Bombyx mori: one gene and its partners. The protein of the gene in region 2 purifies or fractionates together with the protein of the main gene of each other region. This does not show direct contact. Links are inferred from orthologs where the notes say so. Each region holds a gene or a part of one and is shown on either strand. Other genes may lie near its edges.

Evidence for each region.
Region 1: the proteins of dynein axonemal assembly factor 10 (region 2) and DNA-directed RNA polymerase II subunit RPB2 purify together in Homo sapiens (affinity purification with mass spectrometry; 3 studies listed by BioGRID and IntAct, with this or other methods). This does not show direct contact. The link is inferred for Bombyx mori from reciprocal best matches to the Homo sapiens genes DNAAF10 and POLR2B.
Region 3: the proteins of dynein axonemal assembly factor 10 (region 2) and T-complex protein 1 subunit gamma purify together in Homo sapiens (affinity purification with mass spectrometry; 3 studies listed by BioGRID and IntAct, counting the BioPlex papers as one, with this or other methods). This does not show direct contact. The link is inferred for Bombyx mori from reciprocal best matches to the Homo sapiens genes DNAAF10 and CCT3.

Annotation. Positions count from the first base shown.
Region 1 is NC_085110.1:13,225,598-13,236,783, reverse strand, and holds DNA-directed RNA polymerase II subunit RPB2, read right to left. Parts: upstream 5,502-11,186; 5' UTR 5,362-5,501; coding exon 1,834-5,361; 3' UTR 1,760-1,833; downstream 1-1,759. UniProt on the Homo sapiens protein: Catalytic core component of RNA polymerase II (Pol II), a DNA-dependent RNA polymerase which synthesizes mRNA precursors and many functional non-coding RNAs using the four ribonucleoside triphosphates as substrates.
Region 2 is NC_085131.1:9,116,776-9,128,228, forward strand, and holds dynein axonemal assembly factor 10, read right to left. Parts: upstream 5,357-11,453; 5' UTR 5,255-5,356; coding exon 4,971-5,254; intron 4,889-4,970; coding exon 4,761-4,888; intron 4,413-4,760; coding exon 4,195-4,412; intron 3,433-4,194; coding exon 3,310-3,432; intron 2,371-3,309; coding exon 2,258-2,370; intron 1,337-2,257; coding exon 1,129-1,336; 3' UTR 621-1,128; downstream 1-620. Other genes in the region: CXXC-type zinc finger protein 1, read left to right, coding at 6,664-6,690, 6,761-6,882, 7,758-7,921, 8,179-8,305, 8,794-8,898, 9,156-9,342, 9,554-9,751, 10,636-10,842 and 1 more. UniProt on the Homo sapiens protein: Key assembly factor specifically required for the stability of axonemal dynein heavy chains in cytoplasm.
Region 3 is NC_085127.1:10,942,144-10,952,733, reverse strand, and holds the end of T-complex protein 1 subunit gamma, read left to right. Parts: intron 1-184; coding exon 185-339; intron 340-937; coding exon 938-1,106; intron 1,107-1,847; coding exon 1,848-1,940; intron 1,941-2,855; coding exon 2,856-2,970; intron 2,971-4,351; coding exon 4,352-4,527; intron 4,528-5,395; coding exon 5,396-5,521; 3' UTR 5,522-6,522; downstream 6,523-10,590. UniProt on the Homo sapiens protein: Component of the chaperonin-containing T-complex (TRiC), a molecular chaperone complex that assists the folding of actin, tubulin and other proteins upon ATP hydrolysis.

The DNA of each region.
Region 1 (11,186 bases), on a different chromosome or scaffold from region 2:
TCTTAAGGCTTCGTCAAACAGAACAGGTAATTAGCGCGCGTCAGAGCGCTAAACTGACGGCGCGCTATGACGCCGAGATGTGCTGTACTACTATGGTAACATACCGTCAAACAGAGCCCCAGCGCTATAAGTACCTACGCAACGCTCTGTCGCGGCTTTAGGACGCTTTGACGTCAGGCGTTGTAATTTTTTACAAATTTTATTTTAGCGTCCGAGTGAATGTGTATTAAAATACTGGATAATGCCCGAAAAGTTGATAGAAATAGTTAGGAAATACCCATGTTTATACAATGCCACATCTGAAACACTCGATATCTTAATACTTTTAAATTTTCACACTGCTATCGAAAGGCAATAATATGATTTGGCGAATGCGTTGCGTCAAGGAGCGTCGGGCTCGTCTAGTCAATTTGTCTGACATGAAAAGAGCGCGACGTTAAAACGCAGCGCTAAGTACGCGTTCTGTTTGACGAAGCCTAAGTCCGGTACGTGTTGTATCTGCTAATTTTATCTCCACGGGAACTAGAAAGGATCTTTCGTTAAAGTCTACGCTATGTGGAATCTTGTTGTGTGAACATCTCTTAAGCAACGATCGTTTTGAATACGCCTACATAATTAATTGTAAACGTCCATTTTTATATTTGTTATCATGACCATGCAGTCAACGTTAGAACGCGTTATTGCATCCATCTATTGAATTAGTTGTACAGTAATTTTATATACATATACGTATATATCATTAAGATTAAAAAAATATTTTCCCAATGAGATAAATAATAATTTAATTCTAATTATTTGATTTTAAGACAGCTATATTTGATTCGCACTCGTAATTTTGCACTAACAAATGATTATGATTAAAAGCAAGTTTAGGTGCACACGGGTCATTCATAATTTTCACTAGATGGTAGGTACTTAAAAAAAATATTATTCAACGCATTTAATTGCGAGACAATTTATGTCCTTGTCACACAGTAACCAACGTATGCTCTCTTACGAACAATAAAGAACTGATAGTTTTATTATGTACTCACAAAGTTTATATTTTAGTTAAATAAATATAGTTCAATAACTATTTTCACACATAATTGTGAGACACGTGTTGGATGCTTTATTTTTCTACCTAATTGTCTTTTGAATTTTTCATAATTAAGTGTCTGCAACCAGCTCTTAAGGTAGTTATAGTACAATGCACGTAGAAATAACAAATGCGCTAAATGTCTTCTTCGCCTTAAAATGAACAAGTATAGGTAAATTACCTAAAATATGTAATCTGCATTTTAATTGATTACGCATGTTAACATATCGCGGTTACTTGTGATTTGATGACATTTACGATTAATTTTTTAAATTTCAATCTGGTAGTGTACACATGCAGGACTACCAAAGTTCCAGTTTTTTATACTTTAAAAAAGATAACTATGTTACGCGTTTTTATTTATTCTTTTATAAAAGAACTATGTGAAAACTATTGTGTGCAATTTTGTTCAATTAGATTTATATTATTAAATATAGTAATTTATTATATCTGTATAATCACAAGTTGCTATAAATAGTAATATTGAGGTTTGATTACATGAAATGTTTAGTGATGTTTGTTAGTTCATAAATATACATTTATTAATTGAATGTCTAATGAAGTGTTGACTGGTCGGATTTCTGAATCTTAAGCCAGAAACAAAGTACACCATTTTTTCTATTGTGATCTTGTGTTATTAAGTTGCATTTAATGTTGTCGGTTTGTAATAAAACTCTTACAAAAACGATTAGATTTTATTTTATTTTAAATCTTAATAGTTGACAGTGAATTATTTTCTTATCAAATTATATTACTTAACTCACTACCATTAGTCTAGGAGCGATATTCATCGACATTAGTTCCTGGAATAGTAACTTGGCTGCATATGGTAAACGGATTTGCGAAATTTGAGTTTTGTTTTTGCAGCCTTTGCATTCAAATGTATTGTTACGCAAATTAGCTATAGCGATCAGGCCGCAGAAATTACACACGTGTATACGGTAAGGATCTGATACTTCAAATAAACGTTCACGTAAAAATTGGGCAGCTCCGTGTGCAATCTGACAATCACGTTCCATTTCACCAAAACGTAATCCACCATCTCTTGCCCTACCTTCCATAGGCTGTCTCACTAGAATTTGTACTGGACCTCTAGCTCTAGAATGAATTTTATCATCGACCATGTGCTTTAAACGTTGGTAGTAAGTTGGTCCCAAAAAAACTTGCGCATTAATTTTACGGCCTGTATGCCCATTGTACATGACTTCATTACCACGTAGATGGTAACCATAATCTTGTAACAGAGATGATATTTTTTGCACATTTACAGCATCATTGAATGGGGTTGCATCACCGATCTCTCCCTTATTAGAAGATACTTTCCCTTGAATACACTCAATCAAGTGACCAATTGTCATACGTGAAGGGATAGCGTGAGGATTAATAATGATATCTGGTGTTATACCTTCGCAAGTAAATGGCATATCTTCTTGCCTGTATTGAATTCCACATGTTCCTTTTTGACCATGTCGTGAAGCAAACTTATCTCCAATTTGCGGGATGCGTACAGATCTGACTCGAATTTTACAAAATTTATAACCTTCGCTATTTAATGTTAACATTACTTGGTCAACAATTCCAGTTTCACTATTACGTAAGAAAGTGGATGCATCTCGCTTTGTAAATCGTTTTGTTGTACCTTCCAACTCATCATCATTTTCTGGCAAAGTTATAGTTTTTCCTATGACAACATCATCACCTGATACTCTAATACCAGGAGCAATAATACCATCATCATCTAATTTGTCATACAGAGCATTCCTCATACCCTGACATGTCTGTCTGGTTGGTTTTTCAAACTGTTCTTCTTGTTCTCCATTTCTTTTAGATTCAGAATCTTTGTATGAACGGTAAAATACGGATCTAAAGAATCCTCTCTCTACAGCAGATGCATTCAAAATAACACTATCTTCTTGGTTATATCCGGTATAACAAAGAATAGCAACAATGGAGTTAATTCCTGCTGGCAATTCTCTAAATCGTAAGTATTCCATAGATCTTGTCGTAACCAGGGGTTTGTGAGGATAATACAAAACATGAGCCAGTGTATCCATTCTAACATGGAAATTTGTGATATAAACTCCCATAGCTTGTTTACCCATAGCACTTTGATAAGTATTTCTGGGACTTTGATTATGATCTGGGAATGGAATAATAGACGCACAGACACCCAGAATCATTGCAGGATGAATCTCACAATGTGTATAAGTAGTACAATATGCATATTCTTTAACTTGATTCAAGTCATCTAAACTCATGGCAATCATCACAGTTTCTTCTTCCAAAGTATCAATATATTCAACTACTCCACTAGCCACCAAATTTTGCCAACCATAGTTATTGTAGTCCTTTTCTTTTAAATCATCTATGTGCTTCTTTTTCAACAATAAGACACCATTATTGACAATAAGTAATGGCCTACAAATTCTACCTGCATCTGTATAGATTCTGATTTCTCTGTCTCTTATATCTCTAATCATACTGACTTCAGAGACAATGATGTCCATATGACGTCTTAGTTTACGTAGTGTAGCCATCAACTGTTCAGGGTCCCTGTGTATTCCTACCCAACAACCATTCACAAATATCTTTGTGGCATCAGCTATAGCTGATGGTGCAATTTCTTCCAAGTTTTCCATTGACCATTCTTCCAAGAACTCCAAAATTGGTGAAGGTTGACTTCCTACTGAGATATAAGCCATTAATGCTAAATTCTTCACTAAGCCAACAGCAGCTCCCTCTGGAGTTTCAGCAGGACAAATCATACCCCATAAAGTATTGTGCAATTGACGTGGTTTAGCAAGTTTACCATCACGTCCAATTGGAGAATTGACACGTCTTAAATGGGATAAAGTAGATGCAAAAGTTAATCTGTTCAACACTTGAGATACTCCAGCTCGGGCCTGATGAGCTTTCTTTTGGTCACCCCAATTACCAGTTGCCAAAGAATAACGAAGACCATCAGTGATGATTTTTGTTTTGATAGCAAGTTCCAAGTTGAAATCTTTTCCTCTATCAATAAATTTTTGAGCATACATTCGGACTTCTTTTAGTAAATTTTTGAATAAGCCTCTAAATAGAAAAGCCAAAAGTGGTCCTGCTAAATCTAATCTTTTGTTGCCATAATGATCTCTATCATCCAGTTCTCTTCGACCCAAAGCAGCTAATAATAATCTGTGTACCATGTAGCCTAGAAAATAAGCTTTTTTTGTTTCACAAAAATCTGATACTCCAACATGTGGCAACATTTCCTTTTGTAAGATTTCTCTAGCATATTTAATACGTCTTTCTTTGGTGACACCTGGGCGTGCTCCTCGGCTTCCAATAAAATTGAGTGCTACATTTTGTTCTTGAATGACAAAAGCCTCATCAAGAGATGGCTTAACCATTTCCATCATTTCTGGATCATCAAAATCATATATAATGTGTTCCAATATATCTCTATCAGCAACAAAACCTAAAGCTCTGAATACAATCATTATAGGTATGTCTTGTTTGATATATGGGACAATTGCCATAATTCTTTGACCAATAGCAGATTTCTTTATATTTTGTCCTCCTCGAGCCATCATATTAACCCATAATGTAGATGTCGGTCTAGAACTATGTTCCAGACATGATCTTATTTCTGTTTTGTAAGCATATTTGCCATCCTTCATGCTGAATACATAGACAGTATTGGTAGCCATTTTTTCCTGTGCAATTAGTACTTTTTCTGATCCATTAATAATGAAGTAACCACCAGGATCTAAGGGGCATTCATTCAATTCTGACAAGTCACGGTCAGTCAAACTGTTTAGTAAGCAATATGTAGATCTAAGCATAATAGGAATCTTGCCAATAAATGTTTTCTGATGTTGCGTTTCAATAGGATCCTCATGTTCTTTCTCTATTGTTTTTGTAATATCAACATATAAAGGTGCCGAATATGTTAAATTACGAAGACGTGCTTCATTGGGCATCATGGGAGATGGAGCTCCATCTTTCTCCCAATGAGTAGGTTTAGATAAATAAATTTGGTCAAATTTAAGACGATATTTTGGTGGTGTTTCCATCTCACCAGAGAAATGTTGTGCTTCTGCTTGTAATTCTATGGGTGGAGAATCTTCAACTATACGTTGTACCGACATTTGAATAAATTCATCGAAGCTATCTAATTGCTGTCTCACTAGACCTTTTTCATCGAAATAAGCGTTGATGACAATCCAACAAGCTTCTTGCCAAAGCTCAGGTGTTATTTCCACATCTTCCTCTTCGTATTGATCATCTTCTGTATCATACATCTTCGCTAAAGCGAGTGTTGTATTTAAAAAATATACTGTAGGCTATTAATGGCCTTTCTGTATTTTCAATTGGAAAATATTAAAGCAAATGCGTCGTCGTCGCCTTTCCTAGGCTCTATTATCTATGGTAGCAAATATCATAGATTAAACACATGCAAATATTATGTGCTTAATGGCTCAGTGAATTTAGCCCCCTTTTTTATTTTGGATTTTTTTATATTTGTTGGCGTGAGGTGATGGTTTGCTTATTAGATATAAAATAATTAATAATTGAGAATTCAATTGTTTTTATGATCGAACAATCACCAATAGTCGTCAAACAAACGATAATTGATCAAAATTAATTAATCTGAGTGATAAAAATAAAGATATCTAGTAAAAGGAGCCAACTTAATGTGATCATTTGTTTAATTAATTATAAATAAATAAAAGACGAACAAAGATTTTTTACATATGAACATTAACGAACAAACAACGGACAAATAATTAAAAATAAAAAAATTTGAAAATCAAAAAAAGAGGGGCCAAATTCAGTGTGCCGTAGGTATAGATCATACACTTAATATTTAAGTTAGTAGGTTATGGCTCTGTAAATTTGGCCCCCTTTTTTTATTTTCGGATTTTTTTTATTTTTAATTATTTGTTCGTCGTTTGTTCGTTAATGCTCGAATGTAAAAATTGTTTGTTCGTCTTTTGTTTATTTATAATTAATTAAATAAATGATCACCGTTAAGTGGGCCCCTCTTACTAGATATCTTTATTTTTATCGATTAATTCATTTTAATTCATTTTGATCAATTATCGTTTGTTCGATGACTATTGGTGATTGTTCGATCATAAAAATAATTAAATTCCCAATTATTAATTATTTTATATTAATGTAATACCGAAATACTTCACGAGATGGCGTTACAAAAAATCCCTTCCCAAAACTATAAAACCGTTGTGATTGTCTACTGAATAGATAATATAATAAATAATATTTATTCGTAGGTGATTGTTTAAGATGTTATGAATATTTCAGTTTTGATTTCATCAAAATAACTTGAACTTTACTACTAAATTCCGAAAAAAATTTTAATTAAGGCTGAGTTAAATTTAGCTTTTTATTTAAGCCTCTTACTGTAGTTTTTGAATTACATTTATGCAGATTGACGTTTCAAAGCTTTCAGATTTCAATTTTAAAATCTGAAATAATTAAGAACAGCGTCATCCACCGTTCACATTTGAAACAGAATTTAATTCGGTTTAAATTTGTAAAAGTTGATGTTGATTATTATTACACTAATTAATTGAGCGTTTCATTAGCTTTTAAGCTGAGTGACTATATACTAGTAATATATTTTTATTCTATTGTCTATTTTTGTTAAGTAATAAATGAGCAAAAAATAATACTTAACTAAAAGATATGAAATCCGAACAAAAACAGTTTCACTGTAAAAAATTGCGCCAAGTCCACGTTTATAAAACTCATCTCAATAACATTTGCACTTTACAAAAAAAATAAGACTTCAATAACTTTCATTCTCTACAAAAAGATGTGAAATACAAAAAAATACCAAGAAACTCCTTACTCGAGTTTTCACCACAATTTAAGCTTGCTCTTCATCATCATCATTTACATCAACTTCGACTGGTATGTGTCATGCTGGCAATTTTCTTAGCCTATCATGTGGGTATTTGTAAGTAAGTTTTGAATTTAAAGCTTTCAATGTGTAACGGTCACCATCCAATACTTCAACTACTTTAAACGGCCTTTTAAACTTCGTATCTAATTTCGTTTGATTACGCTCTTCGATTTAATGTGTGGACGAGCTCACAGCCCACCTTGTGTTAAGTGGCTACTGGAACCCTTAGACATCCACAGCGCAAACGCACCACACACCTTGAGATAGAAGTTCTAAGGTCTCAGTATAGTTACAACCGCTGCCCCACCCTTCAAACCGAAATACACCACTGCTTCACGGCAGAAATAGGCAGGGTGATGGTACCCGTGCGGTCGATGGCACTCCATAGAGCACCCGTCTAGTGCCACGTCCGTACCCACGAGAACGTCGCCGCGCTGCGACGCCGGCAGCGCGCGATCGCAGTCAGAGTTATTCGAGGATACCTCACAGTCTCCTACGAGGCGGCGCGCCCTAGCGCAAGTGCAGCCGGAGCGCGGGGGCTCCAATCTCGGCAGTCCGTGCTGGAGGCGTGGTCTCGTCGTTTGGCGGACCCGTCGGCCGGCCTCCGTACCGTCGAGGCGATCTGCCCGGTTCTCGCGGACTGGGTGGGCCGCGACCGCGGAAGTCTCACCTCCGGCTACCTGTGCAGACTCACAAGACATTTTACCACCATGCAAACTTCTTACCGCAACAAATCTTATCCGCCACTACGCAAACTACAATTTTACGGGTTCCACCTCTCCTATCATCTCAAGTCTTCGGTTTCAGGTCTTCGACACAAAACATTAAGTAAAATTAAATATTGTCCAGTCCGTACATAAACAATAAAAACCTAAATGTCGTTGTTTTTAGTCTTTAATTTTAAAGTAATCTGTTTGTAGATGGGATAGTCCCAAGATTAGTGTGGTACAGATTGCCCATAGCTTGACAAGCTTGCCCAGCACCAGTTACACCAGCCCCGCATGTGTGGCATATACCTGTGGAAGTTAAAAGTAAGTGATGTTTAAACGAGTACATTTGGTTTATTACAATAGTAATTATGTAACATGTTGCTCTCACTCTCATTTATCAAATGCCAATTTAATTTCATGCCACTAATTTCGTAATGTAAATTCGCCTTTATGATTTTTTACCTTTATTTTTATGATTTAGTACCAGCGGCTAGCTCCAGCCGCCTGCACCAGCCGCTTGCACCAGCCGCTTGCACCAGCCGCTTGCACCAGCCGCTTGCACCAGCCGCTTGCACCAGCCGCTAGCTCCAGCCGCTTGCACCAGCCGCTTGCACCAGCCACTAGTAGTACGAAAGTAACACGATTACGAGAGATGCGCAGTAAACGAAGAAACGATGCGTACTAAATGTTATTGTTTAAATTTTATTATGAACGACTGGAGGGTAGTTCGCGGACTGTGCCACCGTTCACTTCAACGTCTGCTTTTTAACTAAGTAATAAATAGTAGTAGTGGTTAAAGTGTGATAAAGTAGTGATAAATAAAGGAACAATACTAAGAACCACAGGAACAAATGTTTTCTTATTGAAAGAGTGCGTAAACAATACAAAATCTATAAAAATATCAAGGAACGCGCAACTGACATTTATATCCATTACTCTAAGTGTAAATGATCTAAAACTCGTTAAGTGCAGTGAAGGGGACATAAATAATCATTAAAATCGTTAAATTGTTAAATAGTGAACACAAGGATTCTATTTAATTTATTTTTTGCATTTAACCTAAAATAAATATTATTCGCATCGTCACACAAATCACCTCGTACAAAAACGTTAGCGCCACCTAGCGTGAGTAGCTGAACTCTCAAGATAAAACTCGATAAACTGGAGATAACATCTGCTATAAGCAACGTAGTTCCAATACTATCCACAAGATTGTATTAGTAGTACTTTGAGGTATAAAAGTAATGGAAGAAATTAAAAATATATTAAGAAGCATGCAAGAAGAGATGAAACAACAAAAAGCGGATATGTTAGATATGAAGGAGGAAATAAAAAATACCATTATAAATAATATGAATGAAAAATTTCACAGTCTTGAATTAAAGACCGAGTTACTTGAACAACAATTAATTCTAATTCGGCAGAAAAAACAGATAACATGGAGAGATTGAAGAGAAAGAGAAATCTGCTCTTTTTCGGAGTCGAAGAAGGTGAAAGGTCATATCAGGATCTGTTGCAAATTGTGCTAGAAATTATAAACAAATATTTAAGCATTGAATGCAATGAAAACAGTGTTGAATTTGTAAGGCGAGTTGGAAAAAGAGGGGAAAACACGAGACCCATTGTAGTAACATTGAGCACTATGGGGTTAAAAATAAAATTACTTAAAAATAAGAAAAAACTGATATCATCACCGGTTTACATAAAAGAAGATTTCCCCCAAGATATACTAAAAAAACGCAGGGAGCTTCAAAGCGATTTAATCAAAGAAAGAGAATCCGGAAACAGGGCAATCATAAAATACACAACTTCACTCCTCGCGTTCCCGCTCAGACACAAAGTGTCTGTCGGACTTTTTGGCTACCCTGCCGTGAAGCAGTAATGGCTGCTGGTGCTAGCGGCTGGTGCAAGTGGCTGGTGCTAGCAACATGTGATAGCGGCTGGAGCTAGCGGCTGGCGCAAGCGGCTGGTGCAAGCGGCTGGTACTAAATGCTGGCGCTAACGGCTGGGGCTTGTTGCTGGAGCTAGCGGCTGGTGCTAGTTGCTGGAGCTAGCGGCTGGTGCTAGCGGTTGGGGCAAGTGGCTGGTGCAAGCGGCTGGAGCTAGCGGCCGGAGCTAGCGGCCGGAGCTAGCGGCCGGAGCTAGCGGCCGGAGCTAGCGGCCGGAGCTAGCGGCCGGAGCTAGCGGCCGGAGCTAGCGGCCGGAGCTAGCGGCCGGAGCTAGCCGCTGGTACTAAATCATAAAAATAAAGGTAAAAAATCATAAAGGCGATTTACATTACGAAATTAGTGGCGTGAAATTAATTTCGTGACATTAGTTTTACCAACAGTTTCACGTGTAATTTAATACTTTCGTAATGCATGCATTAATTTCATGCATGGAAATTAGTTTCGTGCCCTACGCGATTTTTTGGTGAAATCATGCAACTAATAGTGTAGACGCGACGTGAAACTAATGTCGCGAAAGGGCCTGCGCTGTGCGGACGTGTGTATTGTTAGTTCGGACGCGCTTCAAGCGTTGAAAATGGCAAACCAACGATGGAGTACAGATAAAAATATCAGCGATAGAATATCAGCGACAAGGGTGTCTCTGGGACCCGAAACACCTACAGTAAAAAAGCAAAATTATATTCACTCATTCGATAATAGTTTTTATAGCTCTCAGGATCTTCATCTGCTAATTCAGAGACTAACTTCATTGCACCTGAATGCCTTCTTGTTGATCATCCTCGAATCTAATAACTTTTTTTCTTGATAGTCTTTTTTTAAGTTTATAGGTATATAAGCATTTCTTTAGCTACATTGAATATAGCATATAGCACAGAATATAGCTTTGATGCTGTTGGCGCCATGGTTACTGCGATACTGTGGATTTCGCGACACTAATTTTTTGACGAAATTACTTTCGCATATATCGAAACTACTTTCGTGAAACTGAGCTCAACATGCATGAAACTAATTTCGTAATGTAAATCCCGCATAAAGGTAACATATATCATAACTCGAAAACTATCAAAAATCGCGGAACATACATGGGGGTGATTCGGATACCCCACGACACGAGAGACCTAAATTTTTTTTTGGACGTATAGGTCGAACCTGTATTTTTTTTTTTTTTTTTTTTATTGCTTAGATGGGTGGACGAGCTCACAGCCCACCTGGTGTTAAGTGGTTACTGGAGCCCATAGACATCCACAACGTAAATGCGCCACCCACCTTGAGATACAAGTTCTAAGGTCTCAAGTATAGTTACAACGGCTGCCCCACCCTTCAAACCGAAACGCATTACTGCTTCACGGCAGAAATAGGCAGGGTGGTGGTACCCACCCGCGCGGACTCACAAGAGGTCCTACCACCAGGTTTACTTAGAACATGCTCACGAATGACTTTGATTATGAAGGAATATCGTGTTACTTAAACGAAATTCGCAAAAAATATAATTTACGTAATTACTAACGGTGGAGGGCTCTGTGAGCTCGCACGGATAG
Region 2 (11,453 bases):
CATGAGTGCTGAACATGGGCCAAGGTCCTCCGCCACAATGACTTGTCCTGTGTCGCCCGTAACCAGAAGATTTGCACGACCTTCAACAAGTCGTTTGTCCAACTTTTGAGGGCCAACCTACGCCAGTCTTCAAGCACAAGTCACCCATAGAGGGCTGTGCTCTGAATTAACTTTCGAGAATATTTCAGTTATGAAGACGATTCGAAGGAGAACCATTAATATTTGCACAGATGCAGACAACAACAAAGGAAATTCATGTTTTAACGGGATGCCAGTCTTAAACTCTTCCAGCCTCACATTGATCTTGAAAATTTTATTCGTGCTCAATCTCAAATGCGATAACAAGCCACAAGTGAATACCTAATGCGCAATAATTTTATTTTTTATTGCTTAGATGGGTGGACGAGCTCACGGCCCATCTGGTGTTAAGTAGTTACCGGAGCCCATAGACATCTACAACGTAAATGCCGCCACCCACCTTTAGATGAGTTCTAAGGTCTCAGTATGCCACAACGGCTACCCCACCCTTCAAACCGAGACGCATTACTGCTTTACAGTAGAAATAGGCATACCTACCACTGCGGGCTCACAAGAGGTCCTATCATCAGTAAAAAACGTAATAACTAAAAAAATTTAATAACGTAAAAAGAAACAATAAAACTAAAGTATCATTATTTACTATTAACATATGAAATTACAACTTAAGCAACTTAATATACTCACAGCACATATTAAATACATTGTCTGATCAGATCAAGAGTTCCACACTAAATTACTTACATCCACAACATGAACAGATATCTGTTCCAGTTAGAAGAGTGAGACAGTAGTAATACAAAGCTTCTGAGACATCGACCTCATGTCTCAAGGTGCCATGTGTATGGGCTCCCGTAACAATAGGCGAACCGTTCGTTCACCCCATAATGCAAAAACAATAATGAATTCCAAAACCATCGAAACGTGAACTGTCTTCGGGTGTTGTAAGCTAACGGCATCTGTGTTGTAGTCAGTGTGGGTTCTGGGGCCGGTCTTGGCCAGCCCAGCTCTGTTTACTGACTCTGTTTGCCGACCACACGCCAAAAATAATCGCGTTTCTTTGTTCAAATAAAACGGCCTTTCTAAAGCAAATCACTGCAGATTCAACTTAGTGGTGATCAGAACTCGAATACATTGATCGTATGCGGTGGCGACGGCGAGGCCCAAGTGGTCTTTATTCCATTCCAGAGCGTTGATCGGCTGCGAGCTCACCACCATGCGTTGGAGACGTTTCAGCTTCCCCGGAACTCCGATAGCTACACCCTCGGTGTCCACCCGGAACCTCTGTACCGGGTATTCACTGTAACAAACGAATTGTGTATTGTAACCCACGCCAAAAATAAAGAGAGGTAGAAGCTCTACCTTGCTTTGCTACAAAACATATCGCTAAGCCGGCTAAACAGTTATAATGCGTCTCTTTTCTTTTTTTCCTACCTAAGCTGATAACCTTAGGAGGCTATGTCAGCATAACCTAACAAGTAGGTGAGCTCACGGGGCTCAAACCTGGGGGCGTTGCTAACACTATGAGCAAAAGCAGTGCTTCGCAGAATCTACCACCGGATCGAAAACGCGACTGAGAAGATCCGGCGAGAAATTATTGGTTGAATACGTCTCTCTGATTTGTTGAAATTACTGGCATACTACCGGCCATCTATTCTTCGCTTTATTTAATATATCGCTAATTGACTCAGAGTCGGACACACATTTGTATGATGAACAGATTTGTTTCCTCTTTAATGATGGTTAACATCTATGAAGTACCTATTTAAATAAGTATGTATATCTGGTAGCCATAGAACAAGGAATGTTTGGGACCAATGTGTTTAGTGCGAGTTTTTTAACGTTCTCGATAGCGTAAAAGTTAACTTAAATTAGTTGGAACAGCGCCCCTAGCGGCAAACGTAGGCAGACGTTCCAAGTCCATACAAAGTAGCGTTAACTTTTACACTATCGAGAACGTTACAAAGCTCGCACTAAGCACACAGATGACCGTGTGTTGCTTTTTCCTGAGTTTCTATAAAAAAATGCTTATCTTCTATACTTCTGCGCGGTGTTTGTACAATGCAATTGAATATATGTTTAGTTATAGTAAACTTCTACACGAAAGCTTCTGATATAATTTTTATACTATAACTATGAACCTACAGTAGTAGATGCCCGATGCAACAATGACCGGGAAGTCCTACTTTGAACTGATCATAAGGCAAAATCAAAGTCTTACTATTTCCACAATGTGACTTGCCCATTACCAGCACACGTCATAAACAAGTCACGGTTCTGAGGGATGTGTCGCGCAATCCATATCGTACCGCTCTTCGTTGAATTATCCACCACCTGGACACAGATATATTGAGATAGATATATTTTTAAAAATTAACCTATAACATTAATTAATCACTCAAAATCAAAACGTATGGCTTTTAGTTTAATAAATTTAGTTTATTAAGAGCAGCATTGTTTCATGAATATTATGGAAGAACGGTAATTATTTTTTTTTTTTTTTTTTTTTTTTTTTTATTGCTTAGATGTGTGGACGAGCTCACAGCCCACCTGGTGTTAAGTGGTTACTGGAGCCCATAGACATCTACAACGTAAATGCGCCACACACCTTGAGATATAGTTCTAAGGTCTCAGTATTAGTCACAACGGCTGCCCCACCCTTCAAACCGAAACGCATTACTGCTTCACGGCAGAAATAGGCGGGGCGGTGGTACCTACCCGTGCGGACTCACAAGAGGTCCTACCACCAGTAATTACGCAAATTATAATTTTGCGGGTTTGATTTTTATAGCACGATGTTATTCCTTCACCGTGGAAGTCAATCGTGAACATTTGTTGAGTACGTATTTCATTAGAAAAATTGGTACCCGCCTGCGAGATTCGAACACCGGTGCATCGCTCGATACGAATGCACCGGACGTCTTATCCTTTAGGCCACGACGACTTTTAAATTAACTGATGTAACTATAGATTGTGCTTTTAATATATTAAGGTCCATGGATTCTGATGAATAGAGATACAGCCCATCTATTGCTGAGATAACAGACACTGCAATGTGAAGAATTCTGCCAAATACATAGAGTAGATAAACTTTCAAAGAAATTGGAACAACAGCTGTACTATAGTATACACCAGAACATGTGATTTAATGGTGGTAAAAATAGATAAGGCAGGGGTAGGAAAATTCAAATTTAACAATGCTCTGCATTGCATGCAATCTTCATATTTATTTCTCAAAGACATTCCTTGCTGGTCAGTAAAACATTAGGTTACCTGAGCAAATCCTTTAGTTGGATTTTGAGTCCTCACATCAAAAACATGAAACTTCCCTTCAAGTGTGGTTGCCACTAATTTATTCATTGGAATATCTTTACGATCGAATTCTAAGGAACATACCTAAACAAACAAAAATTCTTCAATATTTATCTATTAATTTTGACTTAGATATAATTTAATATATATATATATATATATTTTTTTTTTTATTGCTTACGTGGGTGGATGAGCTCACAGGCCACCTGGTGTTAAGTGGTTACTGGAGCCCATAGACATTTATAATGCAAATGCGCCACCCACCTTGAGATATAAGTTCTAAGGTCTCTGTATAGTTACAACGGCTGCCCCACCCTTCAAGCCGAAACGCATTACTGCTTCACGTCAGAAATAGGCGGGGTAGTGGTACCTACCTGTGCGGACTCACATGAGGTCCTACCACCAGTTATATAAATATATATCTCTATTGCAAAACAACCTATCAAGCTAATTTAGGATATATCATAAACTACAAAGAATTAAAACACACACAGATAATAACAAGTCATTGTTCATCAGAGTACCAGTTGAGATAATGATAAAAATTTCGAGATTAACTGAATTTATTTACTTCAATTGTGTTGATGTTTTCTTAAATAATTACTCACATTAAAATTAAAATGAACTCCCTCCCCCACTACTGTGACTTTTTGAAAAATATAACACATCTTTCTTAGGACAAGATTAAAGTGAATAACTACTGCTACTATACAACTAGTAATGACCCTGTATTTACTGATGTTAACAGGTTTCAGTAACAACTTTTTATCATGCATGTTGTATAATATGCCTATTGCGAGTTGTGACATAAAAATCTTAAATTTAGTCTTGAAATTACATACTTACTCCATTCTTCAAATTACATTCCCACCTAAGTGACATTGTTCTCAAATCAAACATTTTAAGATCTCCATTGTCATAACCAGCAACTACAATCCTTTCAGAATCATTAAATGAGTTTCCGAAGCCAACAGCCCAGCAATCCCTTCTAGTCTCACCTTGCATTGGTTGCATGTTTGCAACAGGTTTACCTCTTTGCCTTGGATCCCAAACCTTTACTGTTCCTATAATTTCAGTAATTATTATGTTATCACTACCATTTTTATTTTTCCTAAAGAGTTTTAAACCCAATGTCTGTTTCTCTGATTACTTATTCTAAATGACTTAACAAATTTTGATACTATTTTCAAAGATATAAATAGAAGTGTGAGAAAGGTTTGTGTATAAAATTTGTAAATATTTTGGACAAAATCAAAATCTGATGAGGATAAAAAAAAAACTATCCCAGTATGTCAACATGGCTAATGGTAGTCAAATCTTAGAAGGTATTGTAATATTGATTTAGAAAATCTACTCATCACCACACGAGTACCCTTTAATGTAACAGGATAATCCTTGGCATGAAACCTTACCATCTCTACTGCCAGTTACAATTTCAGGAGCTCCACAGTTGGTTGTGTTACCTCCCATCCCATCTATTGAGTTAATTATATCTGAATGTTCTTTTGTTATGTACACTTGGGAACCTTTTTCTAAGTCCCTATAGAAAATAAATTATTTATTAACATTCGATTTTTATGATTATCCGGAAAAAGTATGGATTTTATGATTTTGTTACAAACCATACTTCCAAAGTGCCTCTAAAGTCTCCAGTAGCAAATCGTCTCTCAATGTCGCTACTTGCTCCAAACGTTCCACATTTAAACGAGTTAGACCTCTCAATTTCTTTTATTTTCTTAATTTCTCCGGCGTTTATTTCAAATATTTCAATGGTACCCGAGCCTTTCGGTAAAGAACCAAGTACTATAAATTTAGCCGAACATGGTATCCACTTGCAATCAAATAGTGAATGGTTTAAGTTATTTTCAATATGGGTAATTATTTGGGGGGTATTCAATTCTTCCATGACTTAAAAATAGATATAAAAGAAATATTCAAAGGTTTATGCGAATCTTTAGCGAAAACAAACGTGACAGACAGCATTGGTTTTTGGTTGCTAGGCAACAGCATCATAGGCCACATAATATTGCTTTTTTTAAAAGATTTTATGACTTGGTAACTAAGACTTTTAGGTCATGTCTTATTTTAATTAGTATTCTTATTTTTATGAAAAATTATAAATATTATGGAGTGAATGAAGATGATTAGGTAATTTGAGACATTAATCAACTGGGATGAAATTAAATGAATTGAAATGAGATGATGTGGGATGAAATATCAGTAAAATGGTGGTGGTCATTCATTTACTGAGATTTTTTCAGCGGACTTGTTGGAGGATCCCGAGAAGTTACGTCCAGCGGCTTTGTTTCATTTTCCCAGATTTGTCCACTTTCACATATATTAAACTGTTAATAAACCACCGTTATTACACATTTAAACCTGAAGAAACACTAAATAGACAAAATAAAACAAATCACACAATTTCACTTCTTGCGTTCCCGCCAAAAAGTCCATATAATATTTTACGCAAGTCTCAAAAAATATTAAATTTTCAACCCAGCACACTTCACTCTGCTTAAGCCTCCCATGTTCCTATCATTTCCATTTCCTAGACTAGCGCTAATTTAGTTATTCTTTTTTATAAAGCCTTGATGGGGGACTAACTCACAGTCCACTTGGCGTTAAGTGGTAACGGCAGCCCGTAGATCTACAACGTAAATGCCGCCACCCACCTCGAGACATGAGTTGTAAGGAACAATACAGCAGCTGCCCCACCCTTCAAACCGAAACGCATTACTATTTCACGGCAAAAATAGGCAGGATGGTGGTACCTACCCGTTCGGACTCATAAGACGTACTACCACCAGTAATCTTCTAACATTTTTCAGCTTCTCCCCTACTCAAGATGGTGCTCCTTACTTCTTTCTACCCTTCATAAGTTTTAGAGACACTAAAAGGTTAATACTTGAATTATCATTTCAAATTTTAACCTGATTAAAACCTCTGAAAAATCTTTCTTCTTTTTTAAATCACTTTCCGTCCTTCAGTTCGATTTTTTGTTACAATAGACTTGGCATTATGGGCCCTTTTTGTCTTTGGAACAGACCATTCAATCAAATTCTCAACTTTGATTATCCCATGTGTCAAACGACAATTTTATAGCTTGGAAAATTGTGGCCAAACTTTATATTTCAATAACTTTCTAAAAATATGAGGAAATGAAAAGAAAATTGAAAAAAAAATTACGAGTCTAAAGAATGAATGAAGTTATTTATTTGAAAAAAGAATAAAATTTGTTAAATAAAAAATAAAAACTTCCTTGGGTGCTAGCAGTTGTTAGTGTCATTGAATCGGTTTTGAAATAAAGGGAATACAATGGGTGATAAAAAGTCGAGACAATCTGTAAGTGTTAGTGAAATGTAAATCCTATAGAAATCAAATGTATCTAGTAAATAATATCTTTTTGCTCCAGAAAGCGGACATTGCTAAGCAGTTCGACTTGCCTGAACGCCAATCCAAAATTACAACATTGCTGAATCAAGCTGGACAAGCGTACTGCATTTGTCGATCTTCGGATAGTTCGCGATTTATGATGTAAGTTTTTCCTAATATATTTGATTTTATACAATGCTGCAGTGTATTAGACAACACTACACTCACCATTGCGTTAATACAACTTCATTAGCAAGATGTTGGTAAGATGATGTGTATTTGAATGAATTTCGACATGTATCTTTTTATTATTAAATGGATAGACATCAACATCATTGATTAGCATAAATCAAACACATTGTTAAAAGTGATAGAACAGCTTACACTATTGGCTTATATATTTTGAATATTTTATATTTATTCTGACAAATCTAATTTTATATTCACATATAATAAATATAACAAATACAAAATAAGTACAATTTAAACTATTTCAAATCGAAGCTCACGTTTATAATATCATATTTACTTATGAAAAATTTGATCATTACATTGGATGTGGTCATTATTTGGATCACACTTCATTATGACAGTACACAATTTAGATGATAATTATCATTAGAATATTCTAGATTTGTTAAATTCTAAGATTTCTAAGATTGGGCATTTATGATTTCAACTTTTTTATTGTAATTGGTTGAAATTGTATTTGGAAACAAAACATTTTTTTAAATGTATTCTAATTAATATATACAGATTTGATGTTGAGTTCACAACTAAGAATGACACAACACCAATTCATTTAAGATATGTCTTAAAATTTATCACAGTTACAGTATTACAAAAAGTAAGTAAAAGGTAAATAAAGGAAATTTGATGACTGAAAATCATACTGAATCTTGTATGCTGTGACAATGAGACAGTGGTTGTTCAATTGGCCACATTGATGTAACTCAGTAGTTGAAATATATTCTGCTGATATTTAACTATTATTTAAAACCTTTTAGGTATACAGTAAAAAAGTTTTTTTTTTTCAGAGCATGTGATGCATGCGAGGAATGGTATCATGGTGATTGTATCAACATTTCTGAGAGAGAATCAAAGTACATCAAGAATTACTTCTGTGACCGATGTAGAGAGGAAGATCCGACTTTGAAGACAAGGTTCAGACCACAAAAAAGAGAAAACGAGGTTGATTCTGGTATAAATATTTTTTTTGTCTAGTTTTTTCTATACTGCTACATTTATTAGTATTGTATGATAGGACTGCATAATAAAATTTAAATCCTAGCATTGCATTACCTTAAAATAGATGTATGAAGTATGATTGATTTTTATCTCTCAATCAATTTGAACCGTGACTCACATATTGGTTGAATAAAACTAGAAACCGAAAGCCATTAAAAAATAAAAGTTAACATAAAACGTTTTTGTTATTGTACCGTGTTTCTTTTGTAGGTCGAGATGATCGAAAAAAGCAGCGGAAAGAAAAGGATCATTCGGAAAATAAATCTTCCAAGAGAACTATAATAAAAGATGGTTGTGGAGATTGCCCTGGTTGCTTACAAGATTACGATTGTGGCCAGTGAGTATACCTCATGCCCCATTTATCGGATTTTTACTGCAGTATCTACCAACAGCACTACAAAAAGATGCTATTGCTATCAATAGATCATAGACAGACATTCACTTTGTAATTTTTTAAATAGTAATTTTGAAGAAATGAATTAATGCAAAGTATGTATATATAGTGTATATATAGTGATTACTCATTTTTCTACATGAAAAAGTGCTTTAATCAATATAAATTTCTAACTTTTACAAATTGATATTAAAAGATATAAATATTGATCAAAAATTTGGATTTCTTTTGTTACACTTTAAGTTAACTGAATTGTACCCAAACATTGTTCATTTAAAGTAAATATTTAGATTTAATTCAAGAAAATTTACATATACAATAAACAGATACAATCTTTTGTTTCATTTCATAACAGTATTGTTTCCAAACATTTTCCCATTGTTCTTTTGTCGTACAGAAATGTATGATCACTATAATGGTTTTCATTGCAGTTGTGATGCATGTGAGGAGATGTTCAAATATGGAAGTGCTAATAAAAAGTTCAGGTGCAAATTGAGAGTTTGTGTTAAAAGTAAAAAATCTTCTAAACCACCCAGGTAAGCATTGCTAGATTTTAAAAATGTAATATTATTGATTCCGCATATAACTGTTAAAAGGGCTCTGCTTTGCTGTAACTAAGCTACAAACATAATATAACAACCTTATGTCATATTCTGTTGAAACAATACTCTTGCCATCTGACATACTTCAATGGAACTACTCAGAGCTTCTACTGATGTATGAGCAATAAGTAGAAATAAAAGTATTGGAGTTAACTGACGGATTTTGAAATTGTAAATGAAATTGACAACAGCAGTAGCAGAATAAAGAAGAAGCATCATGAACGTGAACCGTATGAGCCAGAAGAATCGTTGGCGCATCTACAGACGGCGCATGCGCGTCAGTGCTACGGACCGCAGTGCACGTTGCCCGCTCGGTACTCCTCGAAGTACTGCTCCTCACAGTGCGGGATAAGGCTCGCCACTTCCCGGATATACCAAGTTTGTTTTTTTTATTTTCATTTGTATTTCGCAGACATGTGAGAATTTTTTCCTTTTTTTTTCAAAACTTTCTATTCCTGGCTGGTTTGATTACTGCCTAATAGCTAAAGACGGTCGCTAGTATTGGAACAGCACCTAAATGACAAATCTATATTTCATAGTTATATGAGGAATGCCTGGTGTCAATTGATTCAATATAATGCTAATTCAGGTGCTCCCACAACGAATACAAGAATGGTCGTTGTCGAGCTGCGTTGCCGAACAGAAGAACCGCAAGGCACTAGAAGTGGTACGCAGCGGGATCGCTAAAGCGCAGGCCGCGCTGCGGAGTCTCGACAAACAGCACACAGATCTGGACGCACTGCTCGCCAAAGCTAAAAACGCTACAATTCTTCATACGGATGATAAGGTACAAAATTGTTATTTAAAATAGAAATTTAGTGGCTTTTCAATGGATTTTAGAAGAAAAAAAAGTGTTATTTGAGGACGTCAGCACAAAAGTGGCCTAAGCTTACCATAGTTAGTATGGAGATAATGAGGTTCGAATTTACCTTTACAATACTTCGTAGCCAAAAAAAAACGTGATAAAATAATGTTTACAAAGTCATCTGTTATCTATGGATTGAAACTAACTTTTGCATCAAAATTTATTATGTTTTAAATAAATCACAATACATAAGCATGAATATGAATTGTGGGTTAAGCCACTTTTGCGTTGACAGCCTCATTTTGAAGGTGTACTTTAAAACATAAATACTTAAATTGTCTTCGTCCTGATACTTTATTTTGTATATACATTTATATGTTTTTTTTTTTAAATCTTCCATCAATACTTTTCAAACGGATTTGTTCACTTATACTAATATGTTCAATATATTGTCATTTAATAATAACTAATACAATATTGGCTAATAATATTAACTTTGTGTGACCGAAATAACATTGAAAAGTATGAATATTTCTTTACCTGCAAGGGACTCATGTGTTCTGTTTTAATCACTTTTTAATATAATCTACAGTGACGTAATATCTCAAATTCAGTAGCAGTAAAAAAGTTGCAATTTGTAAAGTTTGCTATGCCACAATATCGTGAAGTCTGAAATTCTTTTGCTATTTATAACACCTAAAAAAAAAACCATTGGCCTTTTAAATCTTTTAACTATCCTTTCAATTATGATAATGTATTGAATATGAAAAACAATAAATTGAAATTTATGTTCATTGTAACTTTTTGGTAATTAAAATTAATTTTTGTTATCAAGAATTTTATTAATAAAATAATTTTCGCAACAGGACGCTGACGACGAAACCTCAATGTACTGCATAACGTGCGGCCACGAAATCCACTCGAGGACAGCCGTCAAACATATGGAGAAATGTTTTATAAAATACGAAGCGCAAGCGTCTTTCGGCAGTCGCCATAGGACGCGCATAGACGGACAAAGCATGTTCTGCGATTATTACAATCCTATCAATGCAACATATTGTAAGAGATTGAGGGTAAGTGTCGATGTTTAATGACCCAAGACTAAAAAAAGTACGCGTACCACGCTTTTTTACAATGTAATATTTTTTTCATACACTACCTATTTTTAATTCAAATTTATTAAAAAAATTTTCTATTTTTTAGTTGGATTTTCTATAAAAAACGTTTTTTTTTTGTTTTTTAAACAATTTTTTTTTCATTTTTTATTGTATTTCAATTTTTCCAGTTTTTTTTAAATATTGCATTGTCATCGGTCCTTAATAAATATGCCAAATTTCGAATTAATCTGACGTTTTGAAGGGCGTCAAAAGCACACATACGCCTGAAGCTAATAAAAGCGTATTAAAAATAAACAAATTCGTCAGGTGATGTGTCCAGAACATTTTAAAGATTCCAAAGTGAGCGACAGCGATGTCTGCGGGTGTCCGCTGGTCCGCAACGTGTTCGATCCGTCGGGCGAGTTCTGCCGGGCGCCCAAGAAGTCGTGCTTGCGTCACTACCAGTGGGAGAAGCTGCGTCGAGCCGAGATAGACATGGAGAGGGTCCGGCAATGGTTGAAACTCGATGAACTTGTGGAACAGGAGCGTAGTATTAGATTGGCTATGGCTTCAAGGTATGGAAACAA
Region 3 (10,590 bases), on a different chromosome or scaffold from region 2:
TTTATATACCTTTTAAACCTTCTCTGGACTTCCACAAATAATTCAAGATCGAAATTAGCCAAATGGGTCCAGCCGTTCTCGACTTTTAGCGATACTAACGAACAGCAATTCATTTTTATATATATACATAGATTAGAATGTAGAATTTGACTGATCATAACGAACATGATTTTATTTATTATAGGACTTCACTAAACTGCTACAACTAGAAGAGGAACATGTACAGCGTCAATGTGAAGAAATTATTGCACTTAAACCAGATATTGTCTTTACCGAAAAGGGAGTTTCAGATCTTGCACAACATTACCTTGTTAAGGCTGGAATTACTGCTATCCGCAGGTATGTATTTTCACATTGTATAATATGTGAATAAAGCCTTCTTTGTTTTGTTTCATTGTGACTGATGTGCTGCTTTAATAAAAGGGTAGTAATAATTTAACACATTTTTGGAGGTAGTAAGTACCACACTAACTAGTGGTATCTCTTATTTTGAGCATGCTATCATTATGTCTTGTAACTATAAATAATACTATGTCTAATAATAATGTAATGTAGTAATAATAATGTAATGTAGTAATAATAATGTAATGTAGTAACAATAATGTAACTATAACACAGTAAATCACCATGCTTTCTGATTATAAAGATATTCTGGTACATTTGACGCATGTACATTCTGGTACATTTGAGACTATGACTTGATAGATGACCTATGTGGAGGGTGCAGTGAGGGTTTGAGGTTTATGCAGATCATAAAACTCACACACTCGTAACCACTTAACATTCAATCAACTATTTCCGCTTTGTGAGCAATAAACTAAATTTTCGATATGATTGGATAGAATTATTGAGTTCAGTTCTGTATTTGCCATTACAGTATTGAGCAGACACCTTTAAAGTTTTATTTCTCAGTTTAATTAATTGAAAATCATTCTAGACTCCGTAAAACGGACAACAACCGTCTAGCGCGGGCGTGTGGAGCAACAATTGTCAACCGTACTGAGGAACTCAAGGAATCCGATGTCGGCACTGGAGCTGGACTGTTTGAGATCAAGAAGATCGGAGATGAATATTTCACTTTTGTCACTGAATGCAAGAACCCCAAGGTACTAAATTAATTATATTTAAATCACTAATCTGCTCACATTCTGCTGTGATTATCATTACTTGTATGTAAGACATAGATTTCTTGAAACTATTCACTTACCACCTGTCATGTCTTGGTACTGTAAAATAATTATTCCCTGAAGTACCAGCTACAGCTACCAAGTCTCAAAACAATTGAAGAAGTGCATTAAGAATGTATGGAAGAAAAACACACAAACACTTAAATAGTAGATGTTATTACTACTTCATCTTTTTTTTTAAAATAAACTCACTATTAAACAGTGTTTAATATGTTTGGCGATTCTTAATGCATCAAACATGATAACAGTGAGTGTTAAATTGTCTGGTTAAATAATAAAGGACGATGACAACATTGATGTTGATGTCTGTGGGTTGCAATCCCTTAACATGAGACGAGAGCTCGTTCACCTATCTAAACAATAAAAAAGAGCATCAATGACCTACTGAGGACAGTGCAGCGTAAATTACCTTGATTAATAGTATTGTTGTTGTTGTCCTAGGATACCCCGCTAGTACATAGGGCTCTCACAAGTTGTCTCCACTTTACCCTGTCTTGCGCTTGCTCCTTGACCTGGAGTGATTAATAGTATACCTAACAATAATTTCATAGTATTACAATAATAGTTTAACGATATGCATTTTCTCCTCTCAACTATTAAAATGAATATAGAAAATGAGTAAAATAAAATGGAATAATAATCTAAAAATACATTTTGAAGGCATGCACAATATTACTCCGTGGTGCTTCTAAGGATGTCCTGAATGAGATTGAAAGGAATCTTCAAGACGCTTTACACGTCGCCAAGAATTTGGTAAGTGTATTGACACATTATCTATCTACTGTATATGAATTTGCATTTTTTTTTCGAATCGTATATTCGATTAAGAAATCATTGGTTTAAAAAAAATACAATCTTTCTTATTTTATATAATTATATAAAGTCATTGTATGATTAAAAAAAGAGAGAACTAAGACATTTGGTAATTCCAATAAATGTCCACATTTAAAAGTATGATTGATTTTCAAAATGTAATACAAAACAAATATAAGTGTTAATTTATTATTTTAAATGCCCATTCTGTCCTAATGATTTTAAACAGAACTCATACTAGAGATACGTTATTAGTTAGTACTTAGGGTAAATATAATTATTTTGTGTACTTAAAATGAAGTTGTTTAATATTGTTATTCATTTTCTTACTATTGCAGAATTAATATCTATACATATAAATAAAATTGGAGTGTCTGTTTGTAATATTGAAATAGCCTCTTTTTACTACATACATATGAATATATATACGGTACATATACCAAAATAACATTTTTTACAATTTTTGTCTGTCTGTCTGACTGTTCCGGCTAATCTTTGGAACGACTGGACTGATATTGACGGGACTTTCACGGATAGGTAGCTGATGATATAAGGAGTAACTTAGGCTACTTTTTTTAGACTAGCTCCGCCCCGCGGCCTCACCCGCAGTTATTGTCGTACCGCGCCAAACATGGCGGGACTCGCCTATCAATAATAAAATTTAATGTTTCCGAAGCGAAGCGAGGGCGGGTCGCTAGTTATAATTAAAAAGGTTGTTTATTTTACCTTTTTTTTTACAGAATTTTTTGAAGTGGTAGAATTAAATTGCCCATATTATGATATCGATATATCCATCATGTACAAATACATAATGATGGTATTGAAATTGATTATAATATAATGTTGTGCGTGCAGGTGGTGTCGCCGCGGCTGGTGGCGGGGGGCGGCGCCGCGGAGATGGCCGTGTCCAGCGCGCTGTCGCACCGCGCCGCGCACAACACGCCCTACAGGGCCGTCGCCACCGCGCTCGGTACTAGCACCCCGCTGTATACCTATGCTTAGCTAATAATATATAGTACAGTACACTGTGAACGTGTCCATAACAACGTATGCGCTATGAAAGAAGCTTCAAGCGGCCTACGCACGACCCTAAAATCAGTGGCGATATCGGGACGGCAGTGGTGGGGATAATCGTCGTGAGCTCGCCCCAGCGATTTTTAGAGTTTATGGTAAACAATAAAAATCGGGTTACGATTTGATTATACACGAGGTGATTTAGGGTCTTCCCCACCACTGTCCCGATATCGCAACCGACGTTACGAAACATATTATACGACATACGATTTAAGGATCAAATTCAAATGACAAGCTATTATTCACTGGGCTGAAGCGGTGCCGTTGCAGTGCTTGCATAGTGTGCCATGACCCTTACTCAAACCTTTAAAGGCGGAAGATCCTCAAAACAACTGGCATATACAGATCTAATCAATCTGCTTAGTTTGATCCTCGCATATTCTGCCAATATCATGGCCGATTTTTATGAACTTCATTACGATCAGTGAATGATAAAATTATATTTACATTTTTGTATTGTAGATAATGCGAACACAACAATAATTCTGATTTTTTTCAATACTAGAAGTAAATAGGAAAAATTTAAGTTTAATATTTAGAATATGAATCTCTAGAGATTTTAATACTTGCAGGCTGCACTGCGCTCAGAACGTTACGTAATGCCAGAGTTCCGCGTGCTTAGTGCGAGTTTCTTAACGTTCTCGATGGCGTAAAAGTTAACCCAATTTTGTATGCAGTTGGAACAGCGCCCCTAGCGGCAAACGTACGCAAACGATTTCATACAAACATGAGTTAACTTTTACGCTATCGAGAACGTTAAAAAATTCGCACTGAAGGCGGTTGGCACATAAAACTTGAACTGACCATTAGAATTTGTATTTTATTTTTATTTTTTAAGGGATTTTATGACTTGGTAACTAAGACCTTTAAGTCATATCTTATTTTAATTTATATTCATAATTGTATGAAAAATGATAATATGGAGTGAAATGAAATGAAATAAAATTAAGATGATTAATTTGAGATCAACTGGGATGAAATGAAATGAAATGAGATGAGATGATATGGGATGAAATATAATCTCAGTAAAATGATGGTCGTTTACTGACATTTTTTCCAGTGGACTTTTTGGAGGATCCCGAGAAGTTATGTCCAGCGGCTTTGTTACATTTTCCCACATTTGTGCACTTTCACAGATATTAAACAGTTAATAAACCACCGTTATTACACATTTAAACCTGAAGAAACACTAAATAGACAAAATAAAACAAATCACACAACTTCACTACTCGCGTTCCCGCCAAAAAGTCTCTCGAATTTGTATAATTGTGTTGCAGAGATAATACCGCGCACGCTGGCGCAGAACTGCGGCGCCAACACCATCCGCACGCTCACGGCGCTGCGGGCGCGCCACGCCGCCGGACTCGCCTCCGCCGGCATCGACGGCGAGACCGGCGAGATCGTCGACATGGCCGTCAAGGGGATCTGGGAGCCGCTCGCCGTTAAACTGCAGGTCCGTAGACCACACCATCCTGCATCTATGCACTGTAGCCTTCCCGGCTAGGTACCGCGGTTCTGCCTACTTCTGCCGCGAATCAGTTTTGAGTACCAGTTTGAAGGCTGAAGCGGTCGTTTTACAATACAATTGAAACTTAACTTTAGATCTTAATAGCTTTATCATCAAGACGTCAATAGGGATCAAAATTATTTAAGTTGTATGCAATAGACGCCATATTCAATGAGACAGACAAAATATATAACTAAAATGAATACATATAATGACTTACAATAAACAAAAAACGCCAACGCTTCATAACAATTACTATAGTGTATATCAAAATAACAAATAGGTCGCCAGGTTTTTCTCCCATTTTTATCGCAGACGAAGCCTATACGGATCTCCTAAGAGCTTTTTTTTTACCTACCTACCTGAGAGCCTTGAAAGGCTATTTCAGCGTAACCTTAACTAGTAGGTGAGCTCACGGGGCTCAAACCTGACGACGATGCTAACGCGAACCCTAGCAAGAGCCGTGCTTCGCAGAATCTACCGCCGGATCGGAAACGCGACCCACTGAGAAGATCCGGCGAGAAACTCAGTGGGCTGTGTCTGAGGGTTAATTTACTCGTCAAGCCCTTCGTCGCAAGCAACTGGTTCGACGAGAACGGTGACCGGTGACCTCCTAAGAGCGAGTGATCACCGTTCCTTATTAAAATGACAAATGCCATGCCGTTGCCTAACACTTCCTTAATTTGTTCGTTTGTTTCATGAGCGGCGCTCTGATACAATTAGCCTCCGAATACACGATGAATACGACGAATCTTTTATGCTATTAAAAAATGAAACATTAAGATATAACATTAAAATGAAATTCGTACTGCAGGTGTACAAAACAGCCGTCGAAACAGCGATCCTGCTGTTGAGGATCGACGACATCGTGTCGGGCTCCAAGAAGAACAAGAACAACGAGCCCGCGGCGCCGGCCGAGATGGCCGCACAAGAAAACTAACTTACATAATATTATTAGCATTTAAGCTCGCTTTTGGGACTAATCTTGACCGTAGTTCAGCAGATGTCATTCAAATTACACGGTCTTGGGCAGTCTGTTCTAACTCTTCCCACGTCATACCCAAGACCCCTAGCTCCTGCTCCACCGAGCAACGCCAAGTTGCTCTGGGGCGGCCTCTCTTCCTTTTTCCAGACACTTTCCAGGTCAGTGCTCTCTTTGATTTATAGATTTGGAGAGAACTTAACGGTAGAAAGCGGCCTGGTTCTGCTCCTGGCATTGCTGAAGTCCATGGGCTCTCCTCTGCCTACAAGGGCCATAAAAAATATCTTTTTCTTACCCTTATCCCAATATCCAAATATATTATGTCTTTTGAATATCAATTTGATTTTTTTAGTTTAAACCGACCAAATTGTGAGTTAAATTGTCAGTCAGGATAATTAGTTTGTCATCGGTGTTGTTTTTTTTTCATTAATTCAAGGTTCACAGGAATTCAATAAAATATTTTTAATGTTACTTTCAGTTCTAAGTTCAGTAATGTGAAAACCGATATGAATTGTTATATTTCGATCAGTTAATATTTGATTTATGAGTTTAGCAAATATCATGTTCAAAAATTACTTAGTCTTGTTTTGACGGATTGAGTGTGCACTGCTGAAATACGTTAAATTTTGACACTGGCAACATTTCATCGACAGTTCAGCCGAGAATTTCAAGTTATGTCCCAAAGGATTTAGAATTTCTATCGCTAGCTAACTATTTGTTTAATAATCTTAACTACGGGAAGTGAGACCGATCACAAATGCTTGTCTTATATTTTTGTCTTATAATTACAATGTCTTATTTATGATAATGTATTTTGAAAAAGTTGTCTTTTTTTTTTCGGATTATAGTTTAGTTTTGTCTGGCGCTGACTAGTGTTAGTGTCGTCAGCACCGTGAGCATTTTATTTTCTTGGAATCTTAATATGTAACAAAAGTATTAAACATTTTATAAACTAAAAATTTGTTTTATTTATGAACCCTTGAATCGATAGGCAGCAACTTTGCTCTGTTGCCGAAATTGTAAATGTCTTTTTGTTTACCACTTCTAATTTCCCAAATTTGTGGTAGGGGTAAATTCACATTGATAGGAACAACAATCCTATGATTTGATTGAGTGTTTTAGTAAGTGGGGTAGACACCCAGTGGTGGATTTACACTAGGGGCAGTCGGGGCAAGTGCCCAGGGTGGCAAAATTTTGAAAATAAAAATATATTTTTTAGTCTGATATTGCTCAATATAATCAATTTATTAATAATTTTCTGTTTATAAATAATTTTCTGTTTAATTGATAATTCAACAAATTCAGTTCATTCATTATTTGTGAATTATAATTTTGGCACTTTTGGAAAAAATAATAATCAAAATGATTTAATCAATTTATTTTCTTGGAAATTTAAAATAACTAATGTTCCCGCATTAGTCGAGATTCGACTATAATTAATTGAAATTATATGTTTCAACAGACTACACTATAGACAAATACTCGTAATATTAAAGATAAACAATATTAGCCTATTCTCAATTTGACTGCAGACTTTATAATAACAAAAGTTTGACAATAAACTAAGAGTATATGTTACTGTGTCAAAGACATGGTAGTGTAATGTTTTCTTTATTGGTTTAATGTATCTTGCATTATTTCAAAAAGTTAGCATTGTGAACTTCTCTATATTCTCTATATGTGGAAAATTTCATACTCCTCCATCCGCGCATTTTTTGTAAAAAGGGATACAGTTTTTGCTTCACGTATTAATGAATAGATAATAGATTTTTCTATTTTCTGTAATTTAAGAAATTTAATTAGTTTTTTATGTAAAATTATTAATTATGACCCACCCTTAGTGCCAAATTTATAATTGTTTGAAAAAAAAAAAAACAAATATTTATTTATGTTTTTGGAATATATAACATAAGTTTCTGCAATAAAGTAGTTATTGTTATTTTGAAAATTAAAATATACTTAATTTATACTACAACTTTAGGTAAAATTCCAGTATTGGGGCGGATTTTTTTCCGGTCCCCAGGAGCGACATTAAGTTTAAATCCGGCTCTGTAGACACCATTGGAGTAAAGACGATTTCCACTTTGTGTTTTAAGAACGATGGCGACATTCCCGATGCGATGTCTAGGGCCCTGTGACCCCTTATGCAAACGCAAATGCAAAAAAAAGCAAATGTTTTCCAAAAATGAGTTGCACATGAAATTAATTGAAAAAAATTAAAAGTTTTCATAAAGACAATAACTCAATCTCAATCATCAATCAGTTTTTCAATCATCAGTCATGAAAAGTAAACTTTAAACTAGTCGATTCGTATTTTATCACACAAGCGTTGGTCTGTTGACCAAAATTCAATAAGTCGCTGACAATTCAAGTTTTAGATTCATTTTATGTACCTATTACATATTTTCTTTATTGTTTAGATGGGTGGACGAGCTCACAGCCCACCTGGTGTTAAGTGGTTACTGGAGCCCATAGACATCTACTACGTACATGCGCCACCCACTTTGGGATATAAGTTCAGTCTCAGGTCTCAGTATAGTTACAACGGCTGCCCCGACCTTCAAACCGAAACGCATTACTGCTTCACGGCAGAAATAGGCAGGGCGGTGGTACCTACCCGTGCGGACTCAAGGGGTCTCATCAGTACCAGTTTCGCTGTTGTTTTTTTAATTGACAATTTAGATAAAAAAAATACAATTTCCAAATTTTTTGGTGACAACATTAAACAAAATAAGTAAATGTGTTGACTAATAGAGAAAATCTTCGACGGGAGAAATGTCGCAACTGCATTTTAGCCTAAATCACTTTTTACCATATTATATTTTAAATATGATTCTGGTGTAAAGTTGAGTTTTTTAAGTTTCTTTCATCGTTGTGTTAATTTTGTCCTTACTTATTTTAAAATTTATCTAAAGCTTTGCTGTATTATTTATCTCTCTTATCGTATTATTATCAGAATTAGTTATGGTGTAAATGTGGGAACTAATTAAAACAAGGCAAACATTAATTAACAGGAAAGGATGGTCTGTGAGCGCGGCTCGCGATGGGGCGACACGCATCGAGGCTGTATTGTCCAAAACAGATAATCCAAAAATGCTGTTATTCGGACATGTTTCCATTGTCTACGCGATATCGCAGCTCCGAGAATCGCCATATAATTTGGGCTGTTATAGGTACAACAGGCGAAAGATTGATTTAGGCAAAAAAATCAATAGGTTAGTGTATTATTTTATTATTTATTAGTTACATTTATTAGGGGATACGAGTACACGATCTTGGCCATCTACAGCTAGAATGCAATTTAATTCGTGTGTAGTGGTAACATCATCCAAATTAACCATCCTAAAGGAGCTGCCTTTGAACTGTTAGGCGTTCTTCGGAAGCGCTCGGTAAGTAGTTAGCAACATACCCCATCCTTATCACTGAGTTCGTCAGCTTCAGGTCCGAGTTCAGGTGTACTGTGCATCGGCAATGGTGGGTATCACCGTCCTATAGGTAACTAAATAGAATTCCTTACGTTCCAGTGTGAACGTACTGAATTGCTTTCGATTACAAATTTCGTTTTTAGTGTCACTGTGTGCTTAGTGCGAGTTTCTTAACGTTCTCGATAGCGTAAAATTAAGCCAATTTTGTATGCAGCTGGAATAATGCCCCTAGCGGCAAACGTACGCAAACGATCCCATTCAATGCAAGAGTTAACTTTTACGCTATCGAGAACGTTAACAAACTCGCACTAAGCACACCTTCGATCAATAATTATTGATCGAAGAAGCACACTGATCAAATCCTTATTTATAAATGTGCATTGTAGTACCTAAAATATTCGCACAACTTTTTTAAAAGAGCACGTTTATTTATGATGATTTCTATCATTCGCCAGCGGCATTAAGGAAATTGGTACTGAAAATTTAGAAGAGTTTCATGTACTACGACACCGTTCAACCCAAAAACTTTCAGTTTCTTATTAGTGCATTTGTTATACCACAAAAGTAGAAAAACGTATGTATCACTTGTGCATTACCTACGATACGTGAACTTTCACTAAATACAATGGAAACACGAATCAATTGTGTTGACAAACAATAAGTTCACAACGCGTGACGAGTGATTGACTGGGTGCCCTGGCTAAGTCGATTTGGTGTTTTACAACATTGCGGAAGGCATCTCTGAGCAGACGGGTATAGGAATATGCAAAAGTAAGTGATAACAAATTATTTGCAAATGTTAGCTTTATCTATGATGTCATAGATTAAATTATAAATGTTGAAAAATAAAAACATATTATATTTAATTTAATTATGGGATTTTTCGCGCTAAAATTCATTTTTATTATAAATTAAATAGATAACGGTAAATTGCACTATATGGCCTCTACGAATTATTGTACTTATTGTGTCAGTGATTCATTGAATTTTTTATATTATTGTAATAATGTTATATAGTTTATTGTGGGTGTATTTCATATCGCCTCTTCCAAGAGCGCCATTGAAATCATTTTGGATCTATCTGTTAACACTGTAAATCGAAGAATACAAAGGCTAAGAGCAAAAATATTTTATTTCGTGCACATCTCTGGTACGTGCTCATTTTACGCCTTTGGTCTAGAGTACTGGTGAGTGTCCCTGACACACTGTGCCCGAGTTTGATATCCGGTCGAAGCCAGTATTTTCGTTCAAGTTACTTGGTGATCGGAATCTGGATGTGCTTGCCCTTGTCTCTCTGTCATCGATCGCAGAGGAGTAAAATCTCAACTAAATTAGGAAGTATATTACTTTAATTAGAACTACTCTTACCTACTACTTAATCTCGTGTTTACTATTTTTGATGTCCCGACAAATTAATAATTTTTTTTTGCGATTTTGCTCATAATATGTGCTCAGCTTAGTAATTTATTAAAGTAAAATGTCTTAAAAAACCTACCTAAGAATATTGTGGCTTAATTCATGAAAAAAATTAGCATCATCTGTTATATCCGTTCGCCTTTCCCTTCTTTTCTATTAATTTTTTGTCAACTTTGTTTTTTGACA